Linked DNA regions of Nothobranchius furzeri. The protein of the gene in region 1 interacts with the protein of each later gene in a pairwise test. Links are inferred from orthologs where the notes say so. Each region holds a gene or a part of one and is shown on either strand. Other genes may lie near its edges.

Region 1 (6,260 bases):
ACAGAATCAGAGTTAGGGCTCGAGTTTCATCTGTGGTCTGAAAGGAGCTGATAGGAAAGCCACACAGGATGCTGTTGAGACTTTAAATGTAGATTCACTCAGTAGTTGTCTTACAAACACACCAGCAATGTGATAGTCCTACCTGTGTTAGCAGGGTGTTGTTGTCCTTCAGAGAGTTGTTGATCATCTGCTGAGTCGTGTCCAGGTGAGTCAGCAGCTGGCCAAACTGCATGGCTGTCAAATGGATGAAACGTTTAATTCCAGCATTAAATAAATGATGGCTGAAAAGTACTTCCATCTTTGGTAGAGGAGAAAACTGTTTGTCTAAATTCACCAGAGAGAAGAAAACTTTTGCTTCAAACTGTGACGGATCGTTGCAGAGACGAGCAGAATGATAAAGGACCTCATTCTGCTCCCAGAAAATCATCCTCAAAATAATCTATTGATAAAGTTATGCTTTTATGAGCTAAATAATAAAAATGTGATATCAAGAATCAGACATCTCCATCTCTCCGAAAGCAATTCTTTTAAATGTTGGTAAAGATTTGGTTTCATTCTGTTCTGATTTTTCTGCTCTGTTATTATTTTTTGACAGACATGGTTTGGTAAGACTCCATTATCTCTTTGAATCTCATTTCCTCTTTGTTTTAATCTTTTGTTTCACACAGAAATTTCCACAGTGGATGCAAATCCTTCAAACCAGGACATATCAGATGCAGCCTGAAACGTGATCAGAGTTCACTCCCTGTTTTGATCTGTGGGGAATCGAAACTACCCCAACTCCTCCCCCACTATCCTACATACATGCTCCCCTTGAACCCTCATGGGCGTCATTTCAAGGTTATTTTTTTTCTCTCTCAGTTAACGATTTTTTTCTTCCTCATGAAATAAAAGAACTACAGCTAAAGCAACTCGACTCAATTAATTATCTGATGCTGACCTGCGACGGACTGGTAACCTGTCCAGGGTGTACCCCACCCGCTAGCCCAGAGACCGCTGGAGATGGGCGCCAGCCCCCCACTACCCTGCATGGACAAGCAGGTACCGACAATGGACAGATGGATTCATCTGATGCGTCTTACCTTGCTCATGCAGTTCCTTCACAGCAACAAGCCTCTGCACCACCTGAGGTATGGAAGTGGACACGGCATCCCACTTCTGCACCACGTCATACAGCTGTGACACCTGACGGGTAGAAGTACAGAAGCACAAATGTAGAAACAATCAGATTTATTCGTGTTAAAAGAATGAGATGCACCTGTGTGGTATGCCACAGATGCCTTTAAAACAAACAATTCATGTCTGAATCACGATTCTTGTTTTTAAAGATTCAGAATCAATCCTGTACAAAAGCCTTTATGCAAACTGCTGTATGTCTGAATGTCCCTGAATGCATCATTGCTGGAACTAGTGCTCACTCTGGCTGTGTTTCTACGCTGATATCTGCTGAAATACGACAGATACGTACCTTTATTATTATCCTGTGTGTGTTCTATGAGTGAAGTAGTAAGTTCCATTATATTTTATGTTTAAATGGTGTTATCCTGTTTAGTTTTGTTTGTCGTCTCATGCAGACTGCATTGTGCATAATTGATGCTTGTTTAGACTAACTTGTGCCTGTTAGTCTTCCTGTTCAATGATAAATGTAACTGGTTCATGCGAATATGTGCTACTGGACTAAATGGAGCATCATCATGTGAAGACTTCCTTCCATTATTATTTCCAACCTAATTAGGGTCATATGTGGTGTAAGAACTAGAAAAGTATCCAAGTTTCCTCAAACCCAAACATTAAAATGGTGTAGAAGAGTAATGTGTGATCAAGCCAGGCTGAGCTCAGCAACACTCACACAGAGGAACCTTTTACTGGTTTATTTTCTATTTAACTCATGAAAAGCTGAATGTTTAGGTTAGAATGAGGTTTTTAGTAGTTATCTGGGTGGATGGCCCCCTTACCAGAGGGCCATCCACCCTTTAGTCCCCACGTCTCCCCCACAGAGGGCCTTTGGGGTCACGGTCATACGCCTGGGAACAGCTTCTGCTCCGTTTGCTCCACTCCTGTTTAACTGTATACATTTCAAATGACTTTGGGCATTTCAGGTTTTCTTTATTTTAGAAAAAAAAAATTATTAAACAATTTCTATGCAGGACATGCTGCTCAGGCTGCCTGAGAGTTAAATGTTATGTGCTTTCTACATCTGTTCACTCAGTCTAAACGGCAGGATGAACAAAACAGAAAGTTTAAGCAGCTGTTAAATTACAGTTTGCCATTTCATTTTATGGCCACAAACAACGTCCCTGCGTTAAAAATGACTCTCCAGTCTCATGTTAGAGACTTCCAGAACGTGCCTGTGACTCTTCTTTGAATGTTACAATCATTTGGGAATGTAAAAACTAGACCAGTTTACTAACAGGAAATCAGGGTGGGATTCTGGGAACATAGGCTGCTCCCTACTGGGCGGTTTCATGTAACAGTCTAGAAGAGGAAACCTTTTCTGAATCAATAGAGATGTAGATGCTTTGCAATAAAAGATGTCACAGATTTGGTGATTCTTTTCAAAAAGACACACCGACAGCTCCACAAGTCATTTTTTATTAACCAAACATTTACTTACCACGGATTCATGCTAGATTACCAACCTTGTTCTGTGTTTCAGCATCTTCAATCGCTGCCTTGTGCTTAGCAATCTCATTCATCTTCCCAAGGACGCTCTAGAAGAGAAGAGAGAAGGATAAATGACATAAAAGGCATCGTTTTCAGGCCGGCGGGTAAAGAAAGAAAACATAAGTGATGGCTCCGGGTTAACATCGACACCCATGTAGGGAGCATTCACCGTCAACATTATTTGTAGATCCGATCCAAATGTTTATCCAAACGCAACGTTTTTAGCGAGCAAAACGCAGCTGGGAGGTCATTTACTACAGAAATGTGGGCTGCAACGTGCAGATAGAGGAATGTAGTCTGCTATCCTCTCGTAGCAGTCAACAGACTACAGCTGGTGAAACAATATAACAATATGAGTCTTAAATGTGATGAGAATAATTTTCATGGAGCCACAGCAGACTGAGAGCTGCGTACGTTAGAGGACTCGTGTCTTTCAACACCTCCGTCTGATCTCTGTTGAGCAAAAATGATCAAATAGATGTTTGACAATGGAAGAAAAATATTTCTCTGCCTTGAGTGTGTGAATGTTACGCAACAGTGTGACGTAGATCTGTCAGGCCTTTTAAATCCTAGCGTTTCACTGTCTATTTTCTATCAGAAGCTAAAACAGGAGATGTAGGGTGTAGGAGACTATTTTCATGTTCAGCCTGCATGAGTGACCAATTCTAATCATTAAGTTTTAAGTGAAACAACAAATGATGCAAGGAGAAACGAGAACAGTTTCTACAATCTCATGGCTGCGTGCTCTGTTGGGAGTGGTCACCTGCAGTCTCGCCTCCACTTGATCCAGAGTAGCAGAATCCAGGGCGCTGACTCTTGCCTGCAGGAGCTCAATGGTGTCCTGAAACGAAGATAAGCACACGTTACATAAATAAGCCTCAAATCTGTTTCTACATCGGGTGACGTCTTCAACGTCTAACCCAGTTTTCTTGTAGAACAGAGTTTACTTCATCAAAAAAAAAGTTTCTCACCATCAAACTGCCTCCCTGCACACCAGCATTCAGTGGTCCCTACAATATAAACAAGGGGAAAATAAATTCACCACAGCAAAATGAAGCCTTTCCGTAAAACAATCAACTTTATTTCACGTTCACTTTGTGGAAAAAGACCCAAAAGGTTTGTGGTTTGAAAGCAGAGAAACGGATATTGTAGGGAGGAACTGTGACAAGCATTTCGGAGGAAGTGTGTAGGCACTGCGAGCAGCTCGGTGTGTACCTGCTTGTCTGATCCTGAGCCAACAGCCATTTCCAACTGAGCCAGACGCTTCTCCAGCACTGCCATCTACAGGGAAGGAACAGGCAGACTCGGTGAACACAGCATCCCACAAGGCTCGCACTTTGCTTCTTATTTCCTATCCTGTTTATCGTCATGAATTATTCTGACATCGACTCACGAGGAACAGAAAAACCCACACTGGGCAGCTGAAATGACTACATTTATTCATCCAAACAGGCTCTGCTATCTCCACCTCCACATCACCTTGGCAGACTCGTTGAATTTTTCCTGCTCCGGTCTGCTGTGCAGCTCGTAGAGCACCACTCCATCTGGACCTTTTGTTGCAGAAGTGGCTTTGGAGTCTCCTGCAGAGCTGCCACGGCTGCCCTTAGCCACCTCCAGCTGGGTGAGCAGACGCCTGCAGGAAGGAGAGAGAGGAGGAAACAAAATAATTATACAGAACGCTCAACATAGTCATCAGCCTTATGCGTTGTCTGGAGTCGGTCTTCATCTTAGTCTAAGAACAGTGTCCCAACTACAAACCGGAGAGAATGAGCTGCTTTAAAAGAAAAAATAAAATAAAACATGTTAGTGCTCTTTTATTTTCTGAGTCAGTGTAGAATGCTTCTATTCCATCACTCTAGCCCTCTTCTGGTTTGTCCCAAGCCGAGTGCTGGCATGTTTCCCAGCTCTTTTGCTGAAAATGACATTTTGAGTCTTGCTCGTTAATATTCATAATGTGCTTACATCTGGTCTCTGATTGGCTAACATCAACACAACTCTTCTGCTACCTCCGTTTGCTCATCTTTCGTGGGTAAAAAAAAATTCAGTGTTGATGTTTTAATCTCCACAAATAACACAAGCCTGAAGGAGTTCGGCCATGTTGTGGAGTTGCTAATGCTAATGGTTAGCTTCCACTTGCCCACTCTGGTGTCTCATGGCCGCTAAACCAACACAGCCCTGCAACATAGCTTTTTCTGACAGACCGTTTTTCTGTTTATTTCCTTCCTGCAGCTAATTTTGGTGACATTACCCCGGCGAGCCATCCCATTTATGTAAACATCTAGTTTAGCCACGACCCCCGTCGTGGGGCGGATTCTGTGGTTGTTTTTCAAACAGTCTTCAGACGCAATTGGACAGCACTGGGACCAGTGAGAGCAATGAGCAACTTGACATTCATCACTATGGAAACCAGTCAAAGGGGCACTCGGCAATAGATCGTCAAAGAAGAAAACACAAATACATCCTTTTTGAAATAAAGGACCCAGTACCTCTATATGCTCATCTCTCAGAGAAAAGCCAAGTCTAAATCGTCCAAAGTTGATTCAAACGAGCGCCGTTCTTGAGCACACGTTTTCATTTTCGTCCATTGTAGCTCTGGTGCTAAGCCCGCTATATGCCCCTCTGCAAATGTAGAGCACTGTGATTGACTAGAAACAAAATTGTTCGGGCCAATGCTAGATCTACTCTTCATTTGGAGCGTGGCCTACACAGAGCTAGGGCTGGGGGTAAACGATTAGTTTTAAAACGATAATTCTGACAGTTATTTTTTCGAATAGTCGACTATTCTAATGACTATTTAGACGATTAATCTAATTATTAGTATTTTTCTATTGCACAAGTAATAAAAAACAGAAAATCTCAAATAAATTCCTCAAAAAATGTGATCAATTGGTACTGTACGAGAATAAACGCTACAGGCCTTCCATTTTGTATAACACTGCTTTTATTGTGTTGCGGTTGTTTATGTTCTGGTGTCATGTAGAACTTGGGAGTGCAGGCTGCTGCCTGAGAGGTGGTTGGAGACGGACTGTCTCCATGCTGCTTTGTTTTGGTCACTTATGTGTGTGAGGCCAGTGGTGTTACGACTCTTCCTGGGGAGTTTGGCTCGTGTACAAAAAGGAAGGGATTTAAAAGTTAAAATGATGATCAGGTTTATTTACAACTACAAAAAAACATAAATCTTTCCATCCACAGGTTGGGAATAATAAAACTAATTCTGCCTGTGGGGAATTAAAACAAAAGTACAAAAAAGTAGGGATGTCCCGCTGGGCAAAGATTATGGAGTTCCGGACCAAAATAAGGATCTCCAAAGGTCCAAACTCTAAACTGGGAGGTTAAACCAAACTCAAGGTGATATTTTAAACTAAACCGAAAACCCACAACACTCTAAATGTAATAAAAGAGAGATCTGCACCACAAAAAAGATTAACTCCAAACCAAAACATAACAGCTTATCCAAACGCAAGAAGCTGTTAGCGAAGATGCTAACAGTAGCTTTAGTTCAAGTTACCAAGTTTAAATAAACCAAAAATACCCAGCAGCAAACAGACCAGCACGGAGGAGAGACTGCTACAACAAAAACAGCTCTCGTAACGTCT
Region 2 (6,260 bases), on another chromosome or scaffold:
GATTACACCTGAATTTCTCTGTAGAACGCTTTGGACATGGCGGTCTCAATGAATGACCTGTCCATCGTGGTGGACATCCTCAACATCATCAACATGCAGCCGTGAGAATCAGACACTAGCTGGTCTTTGACCTTTGACCCCATTATACAGGAGTCATCGTGACAGTGAAGTCATGCGACCTCGTTTATTTATTTTTTTTTTAGCTCGTTGTGGAAACTGGACCTGGTTCTGTCTGTCCTGCCTCAGATGGACAAGCTGCTGCAGAGTAAATATGAGAGGTGAGACCCAATCAGAGCTCATCATGTGATGTCAGAACAGAACGGTTTTAATCAGCAGGAGGATGCTGACCCAGCTCTGGTTCTGTTCCTCAGCTACATGCAGACCGGTGCCACGTCTCTGAAGCTCATCATGAAACACTTCTGGACTCTGATCTCCCAGAGCCTGAAGGCGGCGCCGGCCGTCGGAGTCGACATCAGCCGAGAAGAGAGGCAAGTTTCCGCGAGCAGCGGCCGGACCGGGTTCGGTGCTTCCTGTCAGACGTTGTAGAACTTTGTGTTTTTTGTTGCAGAACCCTTAAGTGCCGCGAGTGCAGCAAACATCTGAAGAATCTGAGCAACATCGTAAAGACCAAGGCGTGCCAGGTGGGTCGCCATGGCAGCACCTTCAAGGAGCTCCAGCTGCTCATGACACCGCTGGATGAAACGCCCTGATGAGCCGTCCGGAACCAGCAGAACTGGGTCAGGGTGGATCAGCTGGACTCAAACTTTTCTATCGTTTAATTAAAACAGAAGTTGAAGAAGCTACAACATTGAGACCAGCCAGACCCACGAGGACTCGCTGCAAACCGAGGCGCGCGTCTTAAAAACCAACAGACTGAATTTGATGAACCGTTGGTTCTGGTTCTGACCCATCTCCAGAACAGCTGCCAGCACAGACTTTGATCACATGCTTTACTGAACCAGGTACCAGGACTTAAGACCTGGTTCTGCTCTGGACCAATCAGAGGATTGATAACTATTTAATAAAAACCTAAAAGGTTCTGAAACATTGATGACACTAAGCCGCTTGGTTCTGGAGAATTTATTAAAAACAAAATACAAAAGGTGTCTGAGGTCAAAGGTCACCTGCAGTTGTCCAGCTGCTTGTGTCTGATTGGACAGAAGAGTTCAGCTACTGGAAACAAAACCTCTGATTCTCTGTTGAAGCCATTTCCATAAATTAAAACTAAAGATGTTTAATCTCCAGGAACATCAACAGAACCAGGACCCACATCTGGCCCAGATGTGGGTCCAAGTCTGAAAAACCATTAAAACATTTAAAGTGCAATTTTATAAAAAGAAAAAAATACTGTAGATTTTATTCTGGGTTTAGGGACCGGGGCTAACCCAGGGGAGGAGTCAGTGGAGACCTCTGGGCGTGGTCCGGTCCGGATCCATCAAGTCGTCATCTTCAGACGTCCTGCAGAGACAAACACCTTTAGTCAGTCCGTCCACTTGCTGTAGTCACATGACCAAACACATGACATCACAGCCAGCAGGGGGTTCTGGTCAAAATCAGCTGATCAGTTTGATCTTGCAGCTTGTTTCAGGTTCAACTTTTCACACAAAACGCTGAACTAAAAGCAGGTGAGAAGGTTCAGTCTGCTGATTGGTCAGGAGTCTGGAGGCAGGAGCAGGCCTGCTCATGAGGAGGAGGGACAAACAGGTCTGTCCCGGGCCTAGGATAGGTTGGGGGGGGGGGGGGGGATCTAATGTCTCAGCCCAGGGATTCCCAGATAAAACTATGAAGAACACAGATCCTTAAAGCACAGTCACCAGAACTCTGGCTAGGACCAGCCCGGAGCTGAAATCAGCAGCCCAGTGGACGTTTTGAGAACATTAATCAGAACCACAGCTGAACCAGACCGCAGACTCAGTTGTTCCGCCAGATCCTTCAGTCCAGGTTTAACTAACATCTGCAGCGCCCTCGGCTACAGGAAGCCATTAGGCTCAAACCTGCAGCGTACAGCTGGTATTTACCCTAACCAAACAGGAAGTGAATCCACCTGCAGCTCATGTTCATCTTTAACCTCCTAATTTCTGCCAACACGAGCACTGTTACCATAGTAACCAATAAATACATTTGCAGCTCGTGTGTTTTAAGACCAAGAGCTAAAATAAAAACAACCATCCCATAATCCTCAGCAGGTGGTGGGAAGGGTAGGGGGAACAACATGAGCTCTAAACAACCTCCAGGTGTTTCAGCGCTCATAAGGGCCAGAACCTGAGGTCGTCTGGACCCAAGGGTTCAGTGGGCCCTGCCACAGGCCTACAGGCACACAAACACGAGGGGAGGTGGCGGGCGGGGCATGCCATGCTGAGCGTTCATGCCAAACGGTCCAATCAGCACACAGACCCTCACCTACCTGCCCACCGTCCCCCAACAACGGGCTGCTTCCGTCAACCTGTCTGTCTGAAAAGCAACCAATCAGAGCACAGAATGAGGAGGACACAGAGGAAGATGGACAGACTGACAGCGGGACTCCATCAGCTGGACAGCTTCGTCTCCCAGAATGCACTGCTGCTGCTGAGGAACAAAGCGTAAACCTTTATGTCTGTGTGTGTGTGTGTAGGGGAATGTGTGTGTGTGTGTGTGTGTGTGTGTACCTGTGGACAGCTGGGACTGGGACCTCCTGCGGGAGCTGCTGGGAGTTCTGGAGGTGGAAGACAGTGTGGACCCAGCACTGCTGGCCCTAGAAATGGGGAGGGGGACCGGCGTCACAGGGGGAGAGTCCAGCTGGTGAGAGGTCAGAGGTCAAATAGCACAAGTGATCTGACGGGGAATCAAATATCCAAAGTTTATTTTTATATGAATGTAAATGTTGTTAATGGCTGTAGCCCTCAGTTAAATGAAAACACGATGGCTAATCCAGACTCACAGATTAGAGAAGAGCAGCAGGAACCTGTTCCCTAACCCTGCTCTGGTTCTTGGGATGAAAATACACATCTGCAGTTTCAGTCAACGGGAACCCTTTAGAGCAATAATGAACATGGTCTTTGTCTCGTTGGAAAAGGGTGAATGGCCAGCTTCAGGTCGGACAAGAGACTCTACCACAAGTGGAGGAGCTTAAGTATCTCTGGGTCTTGTTCACGACTGAGTAAACGGGAATTGGACAGGCTGAACTCGTCTGTAGGTGTGAAGAGGAGCCGAGCCAAACAGCCAGGCTCTTAACTTACCGTATTTTCCGGACTATAAGTCACACTTTTTCCATAGTCTGGCTGGTCCTGCGACTTATACTATACATCAGTGTATACCGCGCTGCTCCGGTCCGGCTCCGGTCCAGGTTTCAGCTCCCCTGCCCCGCTGGGAGGGTTTGAAACACCGCCATCCTCTGCTGGAGACCGTGGCGCGCTGCTGCGCCCTGATTGTTTATTCTGTTATTGTTACCGGTACCTGTCTTGCGATGTGAAACGCTTGGTCTCAGATTTCGTAAGAAAAATAATAAAATTTCCCCCCAAAATGCGACATATATGTTTTTTTTTCTTCCTCATTATACATTTTATGGCTGGTGCGACTTATACTCCGGAAAATACGGTACTGGACGACCTTTATCCCAACCTTCACCCAAGGCCATGAATTTGGGTAACGGCAGGACAAAATCGCATAAACATGCAGCTAAAAAATCTCTATTTAATCCTTTTCTTAAAATTGTTCAGCACTATTTTGGACTGAATCTTCTACGACAAGGTCTTATCAACAGGCATCAAAATGTAGATGGAGAGCAAGCTTGGCCACCTCCTAGACCTGGGTTAGTGTCCAGCCCAGGAGCCTCACGTATGGCTCCATTACAGCAGATTTATTAAAACCGTCGTGCATCTGACTGTAATATAAGACTTCACACTGTTTAGTCTACTTTTATTTTGAAGATACCAAAAAAATGTGAACGTCTCAGCCCTGACCAGCTGGGCGGAGCTTAGAGTTACCTCCACACTGTTGTGAGTGGGTGAGGAAGAGGTGGACGAGTTCTCGTGCCGCCTAGAGGAAGAGTTTAGCTCGACGCTGCGAACACGCTGAGCAAACTTCAGCGAGCACACCGACTCACTCATGTTGCCAGGCAACGGAGAAACCTGCAGGAATGGCAGGCATGAGACAGCAGGAAGGAACAAAGACTAGTTTCTGGACTTCACCAGGTCTCACCTGGACCATCATCAGAGTTTTGCTGTCACCGCTCAGAGAGTCCTGCAGCAGGTAGGTGAGGCGGGAGTTCCTGAAGGGAACGTGGGAGTATTTTCCTCGTAGCGCGCTGATGACATCACCGAGAGCAGAAAGCGACTTGTTGATGCACTGAGCCTCTCTGAGCCGACTGCCCTCTGCTCCAGACTTCCCGATCCGCTCAGAGCCTGCCAGATCCACCAGGTTAAGCTTTCCTAGACCAGAACACAGGAAATCAGGTCTCACATCCAAACCTTTTAATTCAAGTTCATCTCACAAGGCTTTAGAAATGAAAGGACGCACTGATGGATGTGAGGCTGCCAAACACTGGCGCCACCGGTCCCTCTGACCACCACCAGGTGGTGCTTAAAGACACGACTGTGACAGACAGAGTGGGGCTCAACCCAGCAACCCTCCAGTTCCAAGATGGGCACTAGACTCCTCTGTCACCACCGTGAGTGAATACTGTGAGATTCCAGCCATGTTTGCTTTCACAACTTTAAGAACTCTGTGCTGTGTAACACACAAATCCCGACACGTTCTCCCAGTCAAAAAAAAAAAAAAAAAAAAGGTTGAGAAGTGTTTCATGTTTGATGGTCATGTTGCACATCATGTTGTACAAACACACACAACAGGTAAAAGTTTGTGCATTTTGAAACAGATTGGCCTTCGTAGAAATTGATCCACCAGTTCCCCGCCAAAGGAGGAGATACATCTGACAGTTGTCAGCATATAGATGGAATTTCACACCATGCTGATGTAGGAGAATCCCCAAAGGTACACAGAAGGAGGCCCAGGACAGAGCCCTGCGGAACGCCCCATTGTAGGCCCACCCAAGGTGATGACGCCTCACCCATCCTCACACAAAAGCTCCTGGCATGAAGGTATGAGCGAGTCCACTCCAACGCTAGCCCTAAGATCTCCACTCAGCTCTGCAGTCGTGATCAACCGCATCAACGGCCGCAGACAGATAACAGCAACAGAACTACAGCATCTACCAGGGTATCTGCAGGTTTAAGGGAGTCAAATTTAAGACTTTTTAAGACCTTTTTTAAGGCCACTTTGACCAAATTTAAGCTATTTTTAAAATTAAATTTAAGCTATAATTTCCAGCTATTGCCTGGAACCGGTGCTAACCACTTTGCGAACGTGGGATTAACCATCCAGTTACCATTAAACTTGCACTTCCCCATGGCGCGAGCTCCCACTAGCTTAACCAGCTAATGTGCTCATCTAAAGATAGCCCCCTTTCACAACCAGCTGAATGTGTACGGTTCCGCTTACGCCAACATCATACACAAAAAATGCTGAACACTAACTAGAAATTCACGAAAAATTTGACAGAAATAATAGAATCTTATTTATTGGGTCTTTGGTAATTTAAGACCTTTGGAAACTGTATTTAAGGATTATTTGTCATTTTTAAGGATTTTTAAGGCCTTAAATTTGGAAAAGCTAATTTAAGACTTTTTAAGGACCCGCGGATACCCTGATCTACATCTACAGCAGGGGCATCAGTAGCTCAACAGGTTGAGCGGGTTGTCCAGTAATCGGAAGGTTGCAGGTTCGATCCCGTCTCCGGACAGAGAATTCTGCTGTCGTGTCCTTGGGCAAGACACTTAACCCACCTTGCCTACTGGTGGTGGTCTGAGGGTCCGGTGGCGCCAGTGCTCGGCAGCCTCGCCTCTGTCAGTGCGCCCCCAGGGCAGCTGTGGCTACATCGTAGCTCATCACCACCAGCGTATGAATGTGTGTGTGAATGGATGAATGATACACTGTAGTGTAAAGTGCTTTGTAGTCCTTACTCTGAGAGGCGCTACACAAGTGCGGGTCATTTATCATTTATCATATCTCCGATGTTGCTTGCCAAAGAGCTGTCATTGAGGACCATGAGGAGAGCAATCCCAGTACTGTGACCAGCCCTGAACAGCAACTGGAAAGCCTCCCAGATCTCCTGAGTGTTTAAAAAAAGCAACTAGTTGAGAATACACGACTCTCTCCAGGAGCTTTGATAAAAAGGGGAGCTTCGAGATGGGCCTATAATTAGCCAATAGTGAAACGTCCAGTCC
Region 3 (6,260 bases), on another chromosome or scaffold:
CAAAAGATCAAAAAACAGTAAAAAAAAAAAAAAAAGACGCGACAAATGAAAGCTATCACAAAAAACGGTGAAAGCTGAAGATAATCAAATAAAAAGATGAAGATAAGAACAAATTAAAAACAGCTTCATTCAAGTGTGGCGCATTGGGAGGACACTGGGTTCTTTGTAGAGTTCCTTGAATTGCTTGTTTTGCACCAAGGTTTAGCTTAGCGCCGGACTTCAATAGTTCATTGTTATTGTGATATCGGTGCGTTCAGTATCAATACTGCAAACGACTGCTTGGACTCAAACAAACTCATGTTCTGAATTATAATAAGTCAGAAAGCGGTGAGAGAGGAGAAAGCAAAATGTAGATTTACTACAGGGATTCCCAAAGTGTGGTGCGCGCACCCCCGGGGGTGCGCGAGCTGCCGCTAGGGGGTGCGCGAGATGAAAAGTGTAATGGCTGCGGAGCTCAGAGAAGTCTGTCAGGTGTCACCATTAGCGTAGCCAGAAACTCATTTGTGGGTGGGCCAAAGAAAAAGTAAGTGGGCCCAATAAATGTAATTGAAAACAAGTATATTTTACTTGTGTGTGTGTGTGTGTCCTCCGCATGTGCCCTAGCTTCATAATAACAATGCGCCGAGCTTCAGCACTCTGGCCTGCGCACGCCGATATGTTCCGTATTTGATCATTTTAACGGTGTTGGAGGAATCTGAAGGTGGCGAGTCATTCTGGCAGATTGTAATTAACACCTGTCTCATGCAGGTGTTCTGACATTGTAAACCTCACACGCGCTGAAGATCTGAAGTTTAGAGTGCGTCTGTCAGAGGTCAGACGCGTTCCGGAACCACGGCTCACGGGTGCACAAGTGAGCACATCTGGGCTGGGCAGAAGTCATTTTACAACGTTGGTTTAAATAGCGCCAATAACGAGACACAGTGACTTAAACGCTGCAAGTTGTGAAGCGCGTTCCCTCCGCGAGACGCATCACCAAGCGGAAAGTGAATGCGTCAAGCATAAACCAAGCTTCGTGGAGCTGTGCTGCGCGCACACACACACACACACACACACACAGAGATTCAATAAGTGCACGCTGCGCAAACTCCGGCGCGCCAGACTGATACCGTCAGACTGAAGGCAGAAATGAGCGCTGCCTCCTCTGTGATAAAAACTTTTAAGAGGTTTTATATCAACATTTTTCATTCCAGGTCAAATTAAGATATTAGCTTCTATTTTGGGATGATGTATTAAAGTCGGGTCCGCTCCAGCCAGTGACTCCGAACCTGCAGCATGTTGTTCCAGTCCGCGTGGCAGCGGATCGCAGATTCAGCCACACCATAAAACAGCAATAAGTCGGTCTGAGGCAAAAGTGAACCTCATGGCTAAAGCTTTTCCCCTATAGACATTTGATTACGCACAAGTAGGTGATCAGCTCAGGTTTACGCAGAGCAGAAGGAAGGAGAGCGCTCTGGCCGCACAGATTAAACGTTCCTACTTTAAGAAAACCGTTAAATTGCATTGTTTATGTGCTACCTGGGCACTCTAAATATTTATTTAAAATTAAATCAAAGGAAATTGTAATGGTATCGAATGTTTATTAATTACTATTTAAAAAATGAAAGTGATGGGGAAAAAGGTCGATCATATTTTTTTTAACCCTGTCTGTTTAGCTTGACGTCTGATATCTATCTATCTATTTATCTATCTATCTATCTATCTATCTATCTATCTATCTATCTATCTATCTATCTATCTATCTATCTATCTATCTATCTATCTATCTATATATATATATATATATAGCCATGCCGTGATGTGTGTGTGTGTGGGGGGGGGGGGGGGTGCGTCGACATGGTCGGGACATAGAAGGGGGTGCGCGGCTAAATAAGTTTGGGAACCACTGATTTACTACAACTGATGCATAAATGATCACTTTTAGAAATGCATCTGAACAAACAGCAGATCTGCAACGAGGCGTGTGTTTATGACGTGGTCAACATGTGTATCTGCTAGAACTTTGCTGTGGAGATATAAAGAACAGGTCAGTGGAGTGATAATGGCGAGAGGGTTGGGTTTCCATCCTGAGTGACCCAGGATCGGTTGTTTTATTTGACACATTCAGGGTTCTCCTTAACCCTTATTACCTTATTTTCCGGACTATAAGCCGCTACTTTTCCCCCACGCTTTGAACCACGCGGCTTACCATGAGGTGCGGCTTTAGTCCACCAGAAAGGATGGATGCTGGAAAGTCTAATGAAGGAATGGTTAAAGGAGCGCTACGGAAAGCACCCAGGAGGGGTTTTTCACAGTAAAACGGCGCCGCTTGTTTTCCCAGCTTCACCCGGGATGATGACACGGACATCGCCACAGAAAAGGTGCGTGACGAAGCTCTTCTGAGGCTGCTCAACTCCGACACTGAAGAAGAAGATGACTTCAGTGGTTTCAGAGCGCAGGAGGACGATGAACAAACTAATCAGTAACTTTTCTGTTTTGTCTGATACTGATCAGTTCAGTTACGTTCAGTTAGACTACGTCTTCTATCCAGTAGATATCTGCGGCTTTAAGCCAGGTGCGGCTTATATTGAGGTGCGCTCTATAGTCCGGAAATTACGGTACAAATAGTTTTTTTAAATGATCGGTTACTCTGAATGTGAAAATAGTATTCCATCCCTGTTTCCTGCATTTCCTTCGAACAGAAAACACACGGTGAAACTCTAGAGTTAGTCAAGCCTGACAGATTCACGTCACACTGTCCTTGATCTCGACTCGCGACAGTTCAGCATCCAGGAAACAGCAGAGCACATTTTGACGAGTAGAAGCTAACCGTTAGCATTAGCACCACACAGCAGAACTCCTCCAGGCTTGTTTTATGTGTGGAGATAAAACATCAACGTTGCAGAGCAAATGGGGTCAGCGGTGGAGTGGCGTTGCTGTCAGCCAATCGCATGTCTACGTCGAGGTGTCCAAATATCGGGAAGTAAGAATCCAAATCATCATTTGAAGCTCAACTTTGATTTGGCTCACTTTTAGTTCCCGAAACAGGTGCACTGGAGGATTTTCTCTCCAGCGTGTGACACGAAACGTATAACTAGAGATCACTGCCAATGTTTTAAATAAGCGTGGAGGCAGTAGCGGCGGGGGTTTAGAGGAGCCACGCGGGATGCTTGAGCTGACAGAGCGACAAGTTTGGTCATTCTCCTTTTTTTGGTGGTGCAACAAGAAAGTGAAAATAAAAAAATGGACATGTTATTCTTCATATTTTTTATTAATTTTATAATTTTTGGGTAAAAAAATTCCGCCAATTGGAGAAACAAAAGGTTGCGTGGCTAGACTGCTTAAAACTAGAAAAAACATCATGTTAGATTTATTGGCTGGTTTTTAGCGTTCTAGCCAAGCAACTGCTGCTTACCTCATTAAATCAAAGTAAGCACGTATAATCTGTCGGCGTTGGTGTTGTAGTGGTGTTTTTACATCAAAACATTCAGGCAGTCCGCAGGGAATTCTCTGGGTGCTTGTTTGTTGTTAATAAAAGGTTTTCATCCTTGTATTGGTTTAAGTTGGGAAGGAAAGTAAAGCATAACAGTTTGCAGGCATCTAGTTAATGACCAGGTGAGCTCTTCACTATAGAAGTGTTGAATCACAGGAAAGAGCTGTTGATTTTATTAACATCCTGTTACCTGCAGGAGGCCTCAGAGACTCACCGTGCTGCGCCTCCCTCTGCTCCAGCTCCTGCCTGAGCTGCTGCCGCTGCTCCTTCATCCCGGCCAGCTCCTGGCTGCTCCCTGAGCTGAGGCTGTGCAGCCTCTTGGCCAAAGCCTCCAGCCGGTCCCGCTCCAGGTACACCGCCTTCATCTCAGCCTTCAGCTCCTTGGCGCTGCTGAAGTCATTACCTGCGCCGGTGCACCACAGGAGGGCATTACACTCTCACCGCCTATTAATGAGCTTCTTGAGCATTAATGGGGTAATCAAGCAAGGCTAATGGTGAGCGATTCGAGCAAATGGGGTAAATGAAAGGATGCGTAATGTAGCAGGGAGGTTTTGGAGGTAAAGCTCAGTGGAAAGTTACCAGAGATGGCTGCCAGTTTGGCTTCATGCAGCGCCAAAAGCTGCGTGTCGGTCTCGCTGACTTTTCTCCTCAGGCTGCTGCCCAGCCTCTGACTCATGACCACCTGGGGATAAAGAGGAGAAGAAGATGCAGAGGAGTGAGATGGGGAGGGTGGTAACTAGCAAAACCTTTGCACAGGCATGGATCCCACATGATGCACTGCTCATTTCCTCGTCTGCCTTCATTTTCTATCTGAAACTCATTCTTTGACGACCTTACAGGTTTATCTGCATTTCAGCGTCTGTTCTGCTCTGAATGCACAGCCGAGAATCATCTCTCCTCATCAAAAACCTCTAGAGATGACACAAAAGGCTTATTTTCATATAATATATGGACTATTAGAAAGTCAGAGCAGGTTTTTGGGATGAGAAGCTGCCGCTCAGAGCAGAATTTATGGAGTTTTTTTAAAGATCCGATCCATCCACTCTGCTCCTAAGCATACACACTTTTAGCTGCATTCACATAAAATCCTCGTTTCTTTTGAAGAATTGTTTTCACACCTCAAAGATACCTAGAAGTGGATCTTCTTATGCATTTATTCCTCTTCTGGAATCTGACACAGTTCTGCACATGGTTGTCAAATAGATTGGTATTTCACAGGCAGAACATCTCCAGGGAGGCTTTTTTTTCTCTTTCCTCCCACAGAAATAAAGCAAAACAGGCTTGAAATTTTTGACTTCATGCAAGAAGCTCTGTGGAGCACTTTCTGCCGTCTGTAGAAATTCTGACACCGACGATTTCATTTCCAAACATCAGGCTTTGTCAATTTTGCAAAAGCGGAGAGAATGAGAGTCACTTTCATGCCGGGAATCGTTCCGTCACAGCAAGTGTGCCGTTTTCCACATGGTGGGTATTTCATTTAAGAACCAAACTTTTCATTCCTAACATAACAATGGAAACTCTTGCGACTGGTGGAAGTGCGAACGTTGCTTTGAAGTGCAGCAAACCGGTGGTTTGATGATGGGTTTCTAAAGGACACGTGACCTCTCATACCTGCTGTTTGTAAACTGCAATTTCTTACACTTTTTTGCCTTTTTTTTTCCAGCTGCAGAAGCTTTATTAGCATAAAAGGGGAACGTCCAATCCCTGTGGAGCAAATGAGAGTAAACAAAAACACACCATACTGACCAGACTTCTATTTTTACTTTATTATGTACTTCCTCTACTCAAAAGAAAAAATCTGACAGCTTTATCTTTAACATCCCTATTTCACTTGGGAAAAAAAAGCTGTTCAAAATGGCACATCCTGCTGCTTCTGACTCCAGCACGCAGCGGTGAAGAGATCACTGCTTTGTCAAATCAAAAAAGATCACAAGAATGCAGACTGACATTTAGTTTGCATTTTGAGCACTCCGACAGTGGCACTTACTGTCTGCTCTGACTATTAGGCTTTCATACACATTCAGTCACTGTGGGCAAGCAGCGAGGAGGCTGAGCGGTTAAGGAAACAAATCAGGTGAGAGGAGCAGGGGCTTACTTTAGCTGTAGCTTCCTTGATGGACAGGTTTAACACCTGCTCCTCCTCCTGCAGTCTGCAAAACAGGCAGAAAATGTTCAAAACAGAAGAAATAATCATTAATTCATTAGAGTCAATCAAACAGTTGTTTAAAAGCAAGAGAAAATCAGAATCAGAATCAGAATAAGCTTTATTGCCAGCGCTCCAGCGACCCAGTGCATAGGAACTTGAGTCCGCAAACACAACCTGACCAAGGTTAAACAGACGCACATGTAGACAGAAACAGGTACAGGCAGTCACGAGAGCAGCCAGAATGGCGCTCATTTCATTAGATGGAAAGGGTGTTGCATGAGGATAATTGGGGTAAGGTAAAAAAAAAAGGCATAAAAGAGTTAGACCCAGCGGGGAGTAGCTCTATTATACAAAAAAAAACTCCTCAACATAGAAGCACGAACATCACAGTTACAAAACGTCAGAGTCCGATGGGGAGGCGGGGTTGGGCGGGATCCTGAATCCTCCAACGGGAGCTGCCATTATGGCGCTCAGTCAGCTGCAGTCAAACAGGTGGGAGGGAGGGATGAGGGACAGAGAGCACATTGAGTTTCCTGCAGGTTGCTGACCTCGAAGCAGAAGTCACAATCTGAAGGCGGGGGGGGGGGGGGAACGGTCGGGACACAGCATCTGTCAGCATTCCTCCTTTCGTGGGGGAGTGTTGAG
Region 4 (6,260 bases), on another chromosome or scaffold:
TAATGACCATTTAGACAATTAATCTAATGATTATTTTTTTATTGCACAGTTAATAACAAAAAAGTCTCTAATAAATTCCTCAAAAAATTGATAAATGGTTACTGTAAGAGAATAAACACTACAGGCCTTCCATTTTGTATAACACTGCTTTTACTGTGTTGCGGTTGGTTATGTTCTGGTGACGTGTAGAACTTGGGAGAACAGGCTGCTGCCTGAGAGGTGGTTGGAGACGGAGTGTCTCCATGCTGCTTTGTTTTGGTCACTTATGTGCGTGAGGCGAGTGGTGTTACGACCCTTCCTGGGGAGTTTGGCTCGTGTGCAAAAAGGAAGGGACAATAACGCGGGATATAAAAGTTAAAATGATGATCAGGTTTATTTACAACTACAAAAAAACATAAATCTTTCCATCCACAGGTTGGGAATAATAAAACTAATTCTACCTGTGGGGAATTAAAACTAAAGTACAAATAAGTAGGGATGTCCCACTGGGCAAAGATTACAGGGTTCTGGACCAAAATAAGGATCTCCAAAGGTCCAAACTCTAAACTGTTGCCGGGAGACGAAGGCGGCCAAAACAAGAAAAGAATCTAGTAGCGGACGGACATTGTTCCAGGTCTTCGGTATTTGGTGGAGATGTTAGTGAAGGCGGAGAAGAGGGCGAACTAGAGGAAAAACTCCTGGGGATGCAACAAGTGGGCGATAAGCGTCGACTACCGGATCTGACGTCGACAAATTTTTAGAATCGAGCCGTCATCGATGCGTCGCTATAGCTCTAGCTGGTACCATATGATGTCACAATGTCATGAGCTTGTGTGTGTGTGTGTATTTGTTAGCGGCACCGCCCTTTCGGTCAGCTAGGCAACAGCATTTGTTGCATTTTTCAAACAGGAAGTGGGAGCGGAGTAATACTCAGGTAGGGGGTGACTTGCGCTTTAAAATTGAATTAGTTCTAGAATCCATCATTATTATTTAAAGGAAAACGTTTGAATCTGGGCCAGATGTTTGGGCCTGAAGACGGGTTTCAGTCGTCGGGTTCATTCTGTGATGCTGGACTACTGAGAGAGTTTAAAAGAGAGAGAAAAGTGAAAATGCTCACGCCCGTCTGAGAAAAGTGTAGAAAGTTGGTCCTGAGGGCTTTTCCAGCCTTGTTCACATCTAGTTCCATCCATCACAGTAAATATTAGTGAAACTGTCATGTCATTGTTTGTCAAATAAATTCTTACTTTCATTAAACCTGACTTTTCTGAATCAAAACAAAGTGTTTACAATCCCCTAATAAACAAAGAATCCTAGAATCTTCTGATTAAAACACAGTAAAGACCAGGCAGGGTGATATTCTATGTTTACATAGAGTACCACAGCTTATTGGTCATAAGTAGAGGTAATATATAGAGCTCTTAAAGCACTCAATTTCTCAAACCCTACAACTGCCAATGATGATTTTTTTTTACTGTGTGGGCGTCGGACGAGCCCCCACACCGTGAGAACAAACATCTCAGCTCTAAAGCCGATCTTCATCCGCGTACGTCATACGTCACGTGATCAGGAAGCAGAACGTCCACGTGTTAGGAGATCGTTTTGGGCCGCTGCTGTAAAAAAAGTGAGGTGCGAACCGGAAAAGCCTCTGCCGATCACAATTCAACAACGGATCATGAAAGAACGGATAACGCTCGAAACACGCGCATTCTTCCTGATGTAAGAGGTGAGTCTCCGCTTTGTTTTGGTAGTTTTGGCATCGACATCATGCTAGCGCGCGTTCTGTGACTCTTAAAAAAAAACCAGTAAAAACGGTGAGAAACGCTGGCAGTGAATGAGTTCATGAGGGACGACTGTTTGTGAAAGTTTGTTACATTTTGAATTCTGACTAAGATTCAACTGTTTTATCACACCCGTCGGGCTAATAAACACAGTTAGCGTGGAAATGTGGAAGTTAGAAAAATAAAAGCTGAAAAAGTGGAATTTGGGAATAAATAGAGGGTGTGATCAGGTCCTGGAGCAATAATGATGTTACTTGTTACGGCGTCCGGTTCATCGCCACACCAGAACGCTCAGAAACATCGTGATAAATGTTTTGGACCATCTCGCCCACAGCCGTAAACCCGTCTCATTAGCGAATCACCACTGTGTGCTACTGGCGGCCCGACCCCAGCCGGTTTACCTCAGCAGCCGTGCAGGTGAACGTGGTGATGAGCTGCTCCTTATCGGGGGGGATCTGCAACGATGGCGGCAGCTGGCCGACGCCCAGCAGGTACTGGGACAACGCTCGGCAGAGCGACAGAACCTTGGGATAAAAACTTGGATCATCTGGAAACAAAAGGATAAAAAAGGAAATTCCCGTTTCTTCTTTCCTTCATTCGTCTTGAGTCTTATTGCTCCGCCTCCTCACTCTCACCGTACACGCCACCCAGATGGTTCCAGTAAGGCTGCGGTTCCGGCGGTGGCAGGAAAGGCTGGTGTGGAACAGGAAGTGACCCCGTGACCTCTGCTAGTTGCTCAAGGGTCACCTGCAAGGCCGTGTCCAACAGGAGTGACCCCTGACCCCGCGTTAACCTCTGCAAGCCCACGCTCAGGCTCGGACACAACAGGCTCGGGTTGAAATCCTGCGTTCAGTAAGAATCATTACAAACAAAACTAAGCACCAGGAAGTGTTCCGATCCGCCCGTTTCCACGTCACCTTGCAGCTCATGGTGCTCAGGAGGTCCGGAGGAGGTAGTTTGGTCAGAAGTTCGGTCGTCTCCAAAAGACAAACGTCTCCGCGGAGACAGCACTGGGACTTCACAAGGGCCACGTACCATTCCTAAATAAAATCACAACAGCAGCCCAGTTTGACTGTTCTCATTCCAAAGTGAAAAATACAAAGCTGCAGTTTTCCTCTTTTCCCAGGATCACGGTTCCCTGGATGCTCCACAACTCATTCTGCAGATTTGTTGCTCCGTCCAGAATCTGAATCCTCACCTTGTCAGCCACGATCTTTTCCGGGGCGGGGGGTGGCTCCCCGTCTAAGGGGTGTGGTGTAACTGGAGGGGCGGGGCTAGCGGTGTCGGTCACAGTGGCTCTGAACCTGTCCAGCAGGGAGTAGAACCTCTGATGCCTGGCGGAGACGGGCAGAAGACAACATATTCTGTCATTTTTGAGTTTGAGCACAAAAATAATCAGCAGAGACGCTCTGATCCAGAACCGACGTTCTGGGAGGATACCTCTGGGCCAAACCGCTGGTCTGGAGATATTCCTGGATTCTTTCCAGCTCCTCCACAGGAAGCTGGGCGACGCTGTTCTAAAGGATCAACGCTGACTTTCAGTTTCACTGGTGGGATGCATTCCAGACCACTAGCACAATCCATCAGACAACCTGGTGAGCCTTACCTGCAGCGTCTCCGCCAGCAGCATCTCGACTCGGCGACACGCCAGCGTGTCGACCATGCGAGCTAGAACCCTGAAGGGAGTCCTGAGCAGCTTGTCCACATAGAGCATGAGCAGAGATCCGGACTGACTCAGGTGGATGCCTTCCAGACACTGCAGCGTCTTCTTTAACATGGTGGGCTGCACACACACACACATCAGTGAAGGACTCTGGGACGACAGGGAGGTAAGGAGTTAAAAGTCGCCATACCGTGGCGAGGTTGTCGCAGCGGGACTGGATGGCCTGGATGAAGAGGCCGCTGGCGGCTGAGTTTCGGTGAACAGCGCTGATGAAATCCTGGACAGGGGGCTCGTGGGAAAGGCTGATGAGGTCACGGACGTGGTTGACAATCAGCCAGGTCAGATGCTCCGAGTCGTGGAGGTTCTGACACTAAAAGTAAAAGACTTCATGTTAAAGTTGCTTCATCTTCATCCTGGCGGGAAAATCGAATCTCCTCCACACGTGTAAGTCTCACCACGTAATCACAGAAGAGAATTAAGGCTCCTCTGCGTACGATCTCCCGGTTGACCATGGCTAACTGGGACTCTGGGTTTTCTTCTTCCTCTTCCCCTGAGGAGTGAGGACTCAGCAGCTTTGTGGAGGACAGGCTGTGTCCCCTGGCAGGAAGTAGAAGACAAAAGCAGCCATTTTTAAAACATTAATAAGAAACACCAGGGGTGTTTCTCAATGTCAAGGCGCCTGGCCTTGCGAGGCGATGTCTCGCGAGGCCAGGCGCCTTGCTTACGAGGACACGGTCCTTCCTTGCAGGGTATATACAGCAATCCTTAAGTAAAATTTACTACTTTTTAATACTTTTTTTTACTACCTTCAGAATTTTTTTAAAACCATCACAACACTAAATTGCAAGTGTTAATCAGCGACCTATTTACACATATTTTAACATATATAACATACAAAAAGCATAGACTTAGAGACTCACTGATGTTGACAACGTATTGCGCATATTTATTTTACTTAGAAAATATGCCAGGCACTTCTTTTCAGCGGTTCAGACAGTTGACCACGGGGCCTGAAATGATGCAGAACGACCACTGAATATGACGTCATCATAATGTGACCGGATATGCTAAAGCAGGGCTGCTCAATTATGGCAAAAACAATAATCACGATTATTGTGACTGAAATTGAGATCTCGATTATTTAAGACGATTTTTCAATTTATGTAGATTTTTTAAATTTATTTTTATTCAGTCATAAAACTGCTCAGGGCACAATCAGGGCAAAAATAAACAAGAAACAAGATGATCACTAAAAGAACTCCTGATTCCCAGTATAAAAAGACCAATATACTTATAGCTCATAGTTTATGACCCAAGGGCTATAGACCTTGGTTTAACTCATTTAAGTCTAACCAGTACAGACCCAAATACCAATATCTTGCAAATACTGACAGCAAGAATTATACAGTGGCATTTATAACAAATAAATGCAAATAAATTAATGTTCACAAAATGTTGCATAACATTTATTTAGTCATGTCAAGGTGCTGTAGGAGAATACACCAGCACAGTGTCCTCAGAGAGATTAGTTATTAGTTATCAGCGTGAGGAACTTATTTCTACCTTATTTATAAACTATTTATTTACAAGTCCATCAGTTAATGTAATAATTGTCCCAACCACAGCTGCACCCCCCACCGCCCAACCCGGTCTCACAGCAATCGGGGCAAGCTGCACGTGTGTTTAGCGCGCCGCACGCGCACACTTAGCCGTTTTTATCGGCTCAGGAGTCCGCAGGTACGGTGTGTGTCACTCACTCTGGTTACTCCAACAAGGAGCCGGCTCCGAGAGCCGTTTCTTTAGCGACTGACACATCACTACATCATTCCCTTTCCTAATGTCCTGAAGAACGGTCCGGAGCGCAGGCGGAGTGTTTAGCTAACCTGCAGCAGGAAATGTCGACGATAGTTATCCAGAAAGTAGCTAAGGGTTACCAGAGATGTTTCTGAGGTGTTCGCTAGGTACTTTTAAGATTTAAAAAGTCAAGAAGGGGGTCTGAAAAGCTGTTGGAAATAGCATCAAAGTCGCTAAGTTGGCAACGGAGCGCTTCATTTGTAACTCAGGGCAGCTCAAGTGGGAGGAGCAAATAATCGGCTTGTTTTATTTTTATAATCGTTCAAAACATTTCATTCGGAATATATTTCTATGTCGATGTTCAGAATACGACACCTGATAGTCTGAAAAAAATAATACCTAACTTGGAAAAAATAATACCTCTGAGACCAAATTTAACACTTTTAATGGCCTTAAATTTGACTATTTTTATTTATCACTTTTTAATACTTTTTAAAACCCCGCGGACACCCTGCCTTGGTCAAAGAAAACGGTTAAATGGAACAGACTAGCATCACATGACCACGGCTTCCACGGCGGTCACGCAACGTCACGTGACACGGGAGATAACGTTATATTTTATACGTATTAGTTTCAATATAAATATATAACGAGCCTTTTACTTTTTAAGTTGTGTATATGTTTATTTAATTAAATATATAAGCGAGTTACTACCTGCTAGCCACCGAAGCTGCAACTACTAAGCAACTAACCAACCATAGATAACTTCTTTGGATCTAAAAAAACATTTTAAATTAGTTGACTCACTTTTAAACTTGAAGATTGTCCCCGAAGTAGCTGCCGGCTTCTGATCCGCCATCTTTTTGAAAATACTGCGGTGTATTGTGGGTAATTTTTGACCAAGGCTAGGCTACAAGACACCTCCCGTGTATCCTCGCTCAGCTAGCTAAACGGCTAACAAACTGAAAACACACGCCTCGGTAGAACATGGACATTGGAACACGTCTTGGCGGCTCTCAATGACGTATCTCCTAGGCAACCGGGGC
Region 5 (6,790 bases), on another chromosome or scaffold:
ACTCAGGAACAAAAATAATCAAAAACAAAGACATTTTTAAAATGGCAACAAAAAAATCATAAGACTAAGAACAGCAAAAGATGTGAGGAAAGGGAAAAAGAAAATGAACAAGAAAAGGCAATCAGTGGATCCCGGGTAAAGCAGAATCAGCAGAAAGAGAAGAACAAAGCTAACTAAGGTGTTTGCTAACCATCAAAATTAAGTACTGTCTGCCTCGGGGCCGGGCATCTAACCTATGAGGACCCACCCAATTGGCCAAAAGGATGAAGAGCTCTATTTGATTTGTTAAAAAAACATTATACTTCAGTTTGACAGAATGCATTATGTGTATCAACCATTTGAGCTGACCATTTAATGCAATATTTATCTGTTCAATGCACTATGCATATTGCAAATGCTAATATCGTGATAACGATATATTTGCGATATACTGTGCAGCCCTAACTACTATGTATGTTAGCATGTAAATATCCAACAAAAAAAATCAATACGCTGGTTTTAAATATCAATTTAGTATCATGACATGAAATTAGTGCTGTCACTATTAGTCGATTTGCCACGATGACGTCGACAAACAAAATAGTCACCAACAAATTCAATAGTCAACATAATTTACTACAAGTGTTGTTTAATTTTTAATCTGCCTGCTGCGGCACCACTACTGCTTTCTACCGCTCTGCTTCGGGCACACGTGCAGTAGTGACCATCCAGGCGAGCCGAAAACGCAGCTCAAATGTTTGGAAGAATTTTACAAAGACAAAAGAGAAGCACGTAGAGTGCAAAAGCTGCGAAGTAGAACTCTCCTTTCACGGGAGTGTAACAGTGATGCATTAACACGTTAAAAGGAAGCCCGTCGTGGCGGAGAATGAAGCGGGGCGGTCGCCTCTGTAAGCTAATTACATCTCGTTAGCTGGGAGGTACTTGTGTTTATGGCAGTAGCAACAATAGTAGTGATTGCAATTTCATTACCTTTAGCACACCTGGGTCACGTATTTGCTCTGAGGTGACAAACACTAATGGTTTATTGCATCCTGCTACAATGTTAAAAACCCGCTCCTCTTCAGTGGATGAGTTTGTTACAAACCAAACCTTCTGACCGAGGCCATTTTGAATATGTTGGTGACAGATTGAGACCCACGTAACAGATCACACTTCAAACTAGAAGCTAATGATGGGTATGCTAGAGCAGCTGTGTCCTGCTGCATTAAGCTATACTTATGCATGACACGATTAGTCGGCTAATCGCCCAAATAACTGAAGATTTGTTGACTATTGAAATAATTGTTTGTAGCAGCCCTACTTGAAACATCACAACATTTTGACATTTCCTTACATCCCTACTCTGCAAGCACATTTCTTGTCAATAAATGCATTTGAAAGCTATTTCTACCTTTTCTTTTCATCCTTTTCTTATTAGGGTAATAGCTGGTAGTGTTTGACTTGTGATGAACGTGTACAAGAAAGCTTGATTTAAAGAAAATCAAGAATCAATTTGAATAGGGATGTAATAAATACATAAATACAGTAAAATATTGTGATATTTCGTGTTATGATACAGAATTAATTTTCATTAGAAGTGAATCGATTTGTCATTGAGAAATTTTATCCAGTCATTTACTGTTTTTCTTTTAAGTGGTGAAATTCAAACCCCGACTGCTAGGGGGCAGCAGCTTTTACTACCTTCATTCTGACAGAACTAACACTGGATGTGTCTTGGAGGCATCTGGCCTGAGTTTTTCAGTTGAACTCAGTCTTTTATTTAACTTTTAGTACCACAACATATCATATCGTCTCCGCTTATTGCGATATATATATATATATATATATATATATATATATATATATATATATATATATATATATATATATATATATATATATATATGTATATATATATGTATACTAGGAAGTTTTTGACTGTTCACCAGCAGCTTGAGATGCTGGTGAACAACATGAAAGAGCGTTGGTCCCAAAAACCAGAGAAGTTTCTGTTTAGTTGTGAAAAGAATCTGCAGGAATCTGTGGTGAATTGAAACATGGAGAGCCGTTGTCTGTTTTCTGATGATACCTCAGCACAGGAAATGTGGTTTCTTTCGCTTTCATGGTAAACACTTAAAAGTTATCAACAGGTCGAGTCACACCTGGTCTCCGCTGAAAACAGGTCTGTTTCTAGGCTCAGGGTGGAGAAATGTTGTGATCTGAGATGTAAATTAAAGCTCACTAGATGTTCCCTGAGGTGGTTCTTCTGACAAAGCAGTTCCTCGATTTGTTTCAACATCTGCTCCTCACTTTTCTTCATCAGATCACACTGCAGCCTCATGGTGGACGACTGCTGAGCCTGGAGCACAAACAGATGGCCGGAACGTCGGAAACATGTTCAGACACATTAATGAGAGGACAGATTCACAAAGACTTAATCTGCAGCATCAAGTTTTCACACTCGTTCTAACAGACTCAGGTCTTCCTTCCAAAATTTGGCTCAGTCCTTGCTGCTGTGTAATTATACAGTAATATCTTCCTGAAGAAAGAGGAGTACCACGTGATAAGAGAAGGTAAAGTCTGGCCTCAGGTGTTTCTGCTTTAGGATAGCAGAGTTTATTGGTTCCCACGTGGTGGAGGAAGAGCGGAAGGCAAAATGAGCATCTAAGTTCTCTAAACAGTGTAATTAAAGTTCTGAAAAGCAGAAGGCTTCCCACCGCAGAGCTGTAAACGCGCAATGGCGTAAACACAACATGTATATCTGAGAGATGTAAACAATATCAATATTCCTTCCTCGGGAGGAGCAGGGAGCCTCCCGCTGGCTGTTTTAGTGCAGATAATGCAGAGGCTGATGGTGTTTCTGAAGATTCAGCAGCTTGTTTTAATTAAAGCCAGCATTCGGCTCTTTTCACCACTCTAACAACAGAAGGAATAGTAATATTTCTGCGGGGTCAAACATCATATCTCACACATGCTGGAGGGGGTTCACTAATGTTATCCGGTGGAAATTAGCCATTGATTTTACAGAAGCACTCCGTATCGATCGCTGATTAAACGGATGGCGGGGATGGACGGTTTTAAATCAAAAAGCAAATCAGCTCATCAAGATGCCAATGAGAGCCTCTTTATCTCCTGTGTACATGTCGTTAATACGTCACACTGCTGCAGGTTAAAACACCGCCTTTATCTTTAGATTCCACAACGCACGTTAACTTTTATTAGATTGCTCTGCTGGGAACATTTTCAAACCCAAAACTCACCTCCACTTTATTAAGAACACCTGTTCACATCAACATCTAATCAGCCAATCAGCTAACAGCGTTTATTCATCTATAAGAGCTGCTGAAGCTGCTGAGCATCAGAATGGAGAAGAAATGAGAGAAGGCATGGCTGTTGTTGGTACCAGACTGGGCTGATCCACTGGGATTTGAACCCACAACCATCTTCTAAGGCCTGACAAACTGAAAGCATCCAGTGAGCAGCAGCTGTGTGGATGAAAATGTCTAGTTGAGGCCAGAGAAGACTGGTCAGACTGAAGAAGAAGAAGAAAATATCATTTCTGTAGCGCCTCTCAAGATAGAAATCACGAGGTGCTTCACAAAAGCAAAAAATGTAAAAATATAAAAAATGTAGAAAATGGTTAAAAATATATTTAAAATGAGCAAAAAATTGACAATTGTGATTAAAATAAAAAAATGGTTTTGGATAATAGAAAAACAAATCCCTAAAACATATTTTACTATAAATACTTAAACAAATCAATAAACTCTAACTTATTAATCTATAAACTCTAATTTATTAATCTTACTACGACATTTATGACCCACTCTATCAAAGCTCAAATGAAAACAAACATGAGCAGTATGGGTGAATAATAAATCCAGACCTTTAACTCCAGCTGCTCTTTGGTCTGCTGGTAGTTAGCTCTCTCGTTGTTGATCCTCTCGTTGCTTCTCGCGATAGCTGCTTTGACTGAAGTCAAGGCAAAGTGGTTAATAACTTTTTACAGAAAGAACCAAAATGTGATGACAATTAACAGTAGCTAACATTAGCCCTGAGAGATAGGCTAACGGGCTGAAATCCTACCATCTTTCAATTTCTGCGCCCGCTCGCTCAGCTGATGTTCACTCAGAAGAATTTGTCGATAAAGTGAGTCTAAACTCATGTTCACTCAGTGAATGTCACCAAGAACATCAAACAACTCCTTTACTACGAGTTTTTAAATCACGATAGCTAACTAGAGCTAAGAGACGTTATTTAGTGATGCTAGTAGACGAAGCTAAGCTAATCTCCGCCTCTATAGCAAAATTGTGGCAAGCAGGATTATCATATAATCGGTAGAATCTGACTATTTGGATTGTTCATGTGGATATTTTTAGACAGAAGGAACAATGAAACTTCCAGGCTTAAGTCACAAGCAACATTTAACTAGAAGAATGGATCACTTTCTACATGTATTTGAGTGTCATTTCTAGACTTTTTATGGAAGGAAATTTACAAATTTCTTCTGAAAAAAAAATACACGCACAGCAGGGAATGTGTTCTCAATCTGATTTCTACATGTCATGTGTTACATCCTATACAACCATAAAATATAACTTTACCGAAATATTTAGTTTTCATATAGTTAAAACAAAATGAATAACAATTCTTGTTAAAATTGAATATATGTCTGGTATTCACATGACTTGTTGATTCAAACTTAGACATAACTTATCCTTAGAAAGTTTTCAGCTTACAACACTTTATAAGAAACATAAAAAGTACAAGCTATTATAAAAATACATAGGGCACACTCAAAATAACTATTGTGAGACAAAAAAGGGAAAAAGCATAAATGATGTAAATTTTAGAAATGCATTGAAAACAATTTGCTAACACTGAAAAACTACTACTAGTACTACTGCTGCTGCTACTGAAATATGCATAATTAAATCGTTATTAACATCACACTGAAAATAAACGCATCATGTGTTTACTTGTTTAGAATTAAAAGATTATGAATATACTTGTTTAAACCTGTGTTTCTTCACATTATATTTTGTACATAAATTAGTCAATTTGTTGCAGATTTAGGTACCATGAACCTTTTTGTGTAGGTCTGAAATTGTAGATATTAGATGAAAGCCTCTGAGTAAGTATAAATGATCTTTTGACAAGGAGAAACTGAATATCTGCAACATACATATTTATTGTTTTATAACTACTTAAACCTTTAAGAACTTTTTAAAGATTATGAAATGTCTCATTTTGGAGACTAAATGGAAGCCCATTGATGCCACTCTGGTGAAATAAATAGTATTTGGTTATTATGACTTGGTTATCTCTTATGAATAAGGATGCATCTCATAATTATGGTAAATGGCCTGTATTTGATATAGCGCCTTCTAGAGTCCTGGAACCCCCCAAGGCGCTTTACAACACAATCAGTCCTTCACCCATTCACACACACATTCACACACTGGTGGGGCTGAGCTACAATGTAGCCACAGCTGCCCTGGGGCACACTGACAGAGGCGAGGCTGCCGAGCACTGGCGCCACCAGTCCCTCTGACCACCACCAGCAGGCAACGTGGGTTAAGTGTCTTGCCCACGGAAACAACGACAGCGACAGACTGAGCGGGGCTCGAACCTGCAACCTTCCGATTACGGGACGAGCACTTAACTCCTGTGCCACCATCGCCCCGTGCCAATTTTCTTTTATCACAGTGGCAGAAATCGGCTCCCGTACAATTGGAGTTGTGGAGGCCGTGCACTTTTCTTTTTTCGACCGGCAGGAAAAATGCAAAGTCATGTGTAAAAAGTGGCAGATGAGAATAATGTATAAAGAAATGCTATGACTTATCGTAAGAGGGTGTTTTAGCGTCTGCAATTAGGAAACACAAACGTGGACAAGACTCGGATGAACAAATGAAATATTTTCACATTTATTACTTTCACCTTGCTATATCTGCTTAGTCACAGAATTTGTAGTTGGCACAATAACCCCCCCCCCCCCACACACACACACACACACACACACACACACACTGGGATGGAGAGAGCTTCTGATCCGGTGCCATGAAGAACATTACTGCACGAGATGTCAAAAGACCCGAGGACTACATCATCCTGACATTCATTTGCAAAATTAATATCACATATTGATTGAGGCTTGTCATAAATCACCAGCCTTCCGCTGACTGCAGAGGCTCCCCTTGGAGACTTTAGAACAGCAGACTCATCAGATCGGAGCCAGACTATTATCCCACAAAGAGCAGGAGTCTGTCGCTCACTCGTTTACTCAAGTTCTCTGTGAAAATACAACAGCTGACTAAAAGTATTTTTTAAATGACTGAGTGAAGGGTGAAGGAATGATTGGTTTGTATCTAATGTGTCTTTTCATTGAATCTGACATTCAAGCAGGCCATTTTCATCCCATCCCTGAATACATCCTGCTCTTTCAGCCCTCCTGTGTGTGTGGGAACTGATTTATCGTGCTGGGCACCAGCATTCATGATTGATTGGGTCCAGTGTTTAATGCAGAGAGGCTCATTGACAGGTCCCTTGAAGTGGATTAGCTTCTGAATAGGCTTTATGCGCGATCAATGGGCTGAAAGTCCATGATGCATCGTCCCTGTGGTTATATAATATTAGACTTCAAGTTACTGATCAAAATGTTCAAATGGAGTCAGAATTAGATTTGAAAATATCAAACATGGTTTTATTATTCCTTCCAACTGATTTTACTCTGCAAACCACCAGTAGGGGGAGACAGACTCACAGTGTCTGATGAGAACAGGTCTCGCTTTCTCTCACTGTAGCTGATCAC

Evidence for each region.
Region 2: the proteins of dctn2 (region 1) and kifc3 interact in binary tests that used the Homo sapiens proteins (3 or more experiments, as listed by UniProt). The two-hybrid records come from large-scale screens. The link is inferred for Nothobranchius furzeri from reciprocal best matches to the Homo sapiens genes DCTN2 and KIFC3.
Region 3: the proteins of dctn2 (region 1) and disc1 interact in a two-hybrid assay, tested with the Homo sapiens proteins (2 studies listed by BioGRID and IntAct). The link is inferred for Nothobranchius furzeri from reciprocal best matches to the Homo sapiens genes DCTN2 and DISC1.
Region 4: the proteins of dctn2 (region 1) and htt interact in binary tests that used the Homo sapiens proteins (3 or more experiments, as listed by UniProt). The link is inferred for Nothobranchius furzeri from reciprocal best matches to the Homo sapiens genes DCTN2 and HTT.
Region 5: the proteins of dctn2 (region 1) and ccdc172 interact in binary tests that used the Homo sapiens proteins (3 or more experiments, as listed by UniProt). The two-hybrid records come from large-scale screens. The link is inferred for Nothobranchius furzeri from reciprocal best matches to the Homo sapiens genes DCTN2 and CCDC172.

What each region holds. Positions count from the first base shown.
Region 1 is NC_091743.1:61,816,426-61,822,685, forward strand, and holds part of dctn2 (dynactin subunit 2), read right to left. Parts: intron 4,298-6,260; coding exon 4,144-4,297; intron 3,946-4,143; coding exon 3,880-3,945; intron 3,675-3,879; coding exon 3,636-3,674; intron 3,506-3,635; coding exon 3,428-3,505; intron 2,712-3,427; coding exon 2,640-2,711; intron 1,186-2,639; coding exon 1,083-1,185; intron 235-1,082; coding exon 143-234; intron 1-142. UniProt on the Homo sapiens protein: Part of the dynactin complex that activates the molecular motor dynein for ultra-processive transport along microtubules. In the dynactin soulder domain, binds the ACTR1A filament and acts as a molecular ruler to determine the length.
Region 2 is NC_091749.1:65,947,050-65,953,309, reverse strand, and holds the end of kifc3 (kinesin-like protein KIFC3), read right to left. Parts: intron 4,407-6,260; coding exon 4,177-4,406; intron 4,107-4,176; coding exon 3,963-4,106; intron 2,776-3,962; coding exon 2,646-2,775; intron 2,566-2,645; coding exon 2,405-2,565; intron 1,459-2,404; coding exon 1,450-1,458; coding exon of another isoform or gene 1,398-1,449; 3' UTR 1,066-1,397; downstream 1-1,065. UniProt on the Homo sapiens protein: Minus-end microtubule-dependent motor protein. Involved in apically targeted transport. Required for zonula adherens maintenance.
Region 3 is NC_091752.1:2,346,923-2,353,182, reverse strand, and holds part of disc1 (disrupted in schizophrenia 1 protein), read right to left. Parts: intron 5,620-6,260; coding exon 5,565-5,619; intron 4,152-5,564; coding exon 4,049-4,151; intron 3,873-4,048; coding exon 3,684-3,872; intron 1-3,683. UniProt on the Homo sapiens protein: Involved in the regulation of multiple aspects of embryonic and adult neurogenesis. Required for neural progenitor proliferation in the ventrical/subventrical zone during embryonic brain development and in the adult dentate gyrus of the hippocampus.
Region 4 is NC_091746.1:25,539,401-25,545,660, reverse strand, and holds part of htt (huntingtin), read right to left. Parts: intron 4,018-6,260; coding exon 3,876-4,017; intron 3,791-3,875; coding exon 3,611-3,790; intron 3,541-3,610; coding exon 3,364-3,540; intron 3,275-3,363; coding exon 3,198-3,274; intron 3,092-3,197; coding exon 2,956-3,091; intron 2,798-2,955; coding exon 2,675-2,797; intron 2,601-2,674; coding exon 2,393-2,600; intron 2,305-2,392; coding exon 2,159-2,304; intron 1-2,158.
Region 5 is NC_091752.1:42,777,596-42,784,385, forward strand, and holds the start of ccdc172 (coiled-coil domain-containing protein 172), read right to left. Parts: upstream 4,263-6,790; 5' UTR 4,145-4,262; coding exon 4,066-4,144; intron 3,952-4,065; coding exon 3,866-3,951; intron 2,339-3,865; coding exon 2,222-2,338; intron 1-2,221.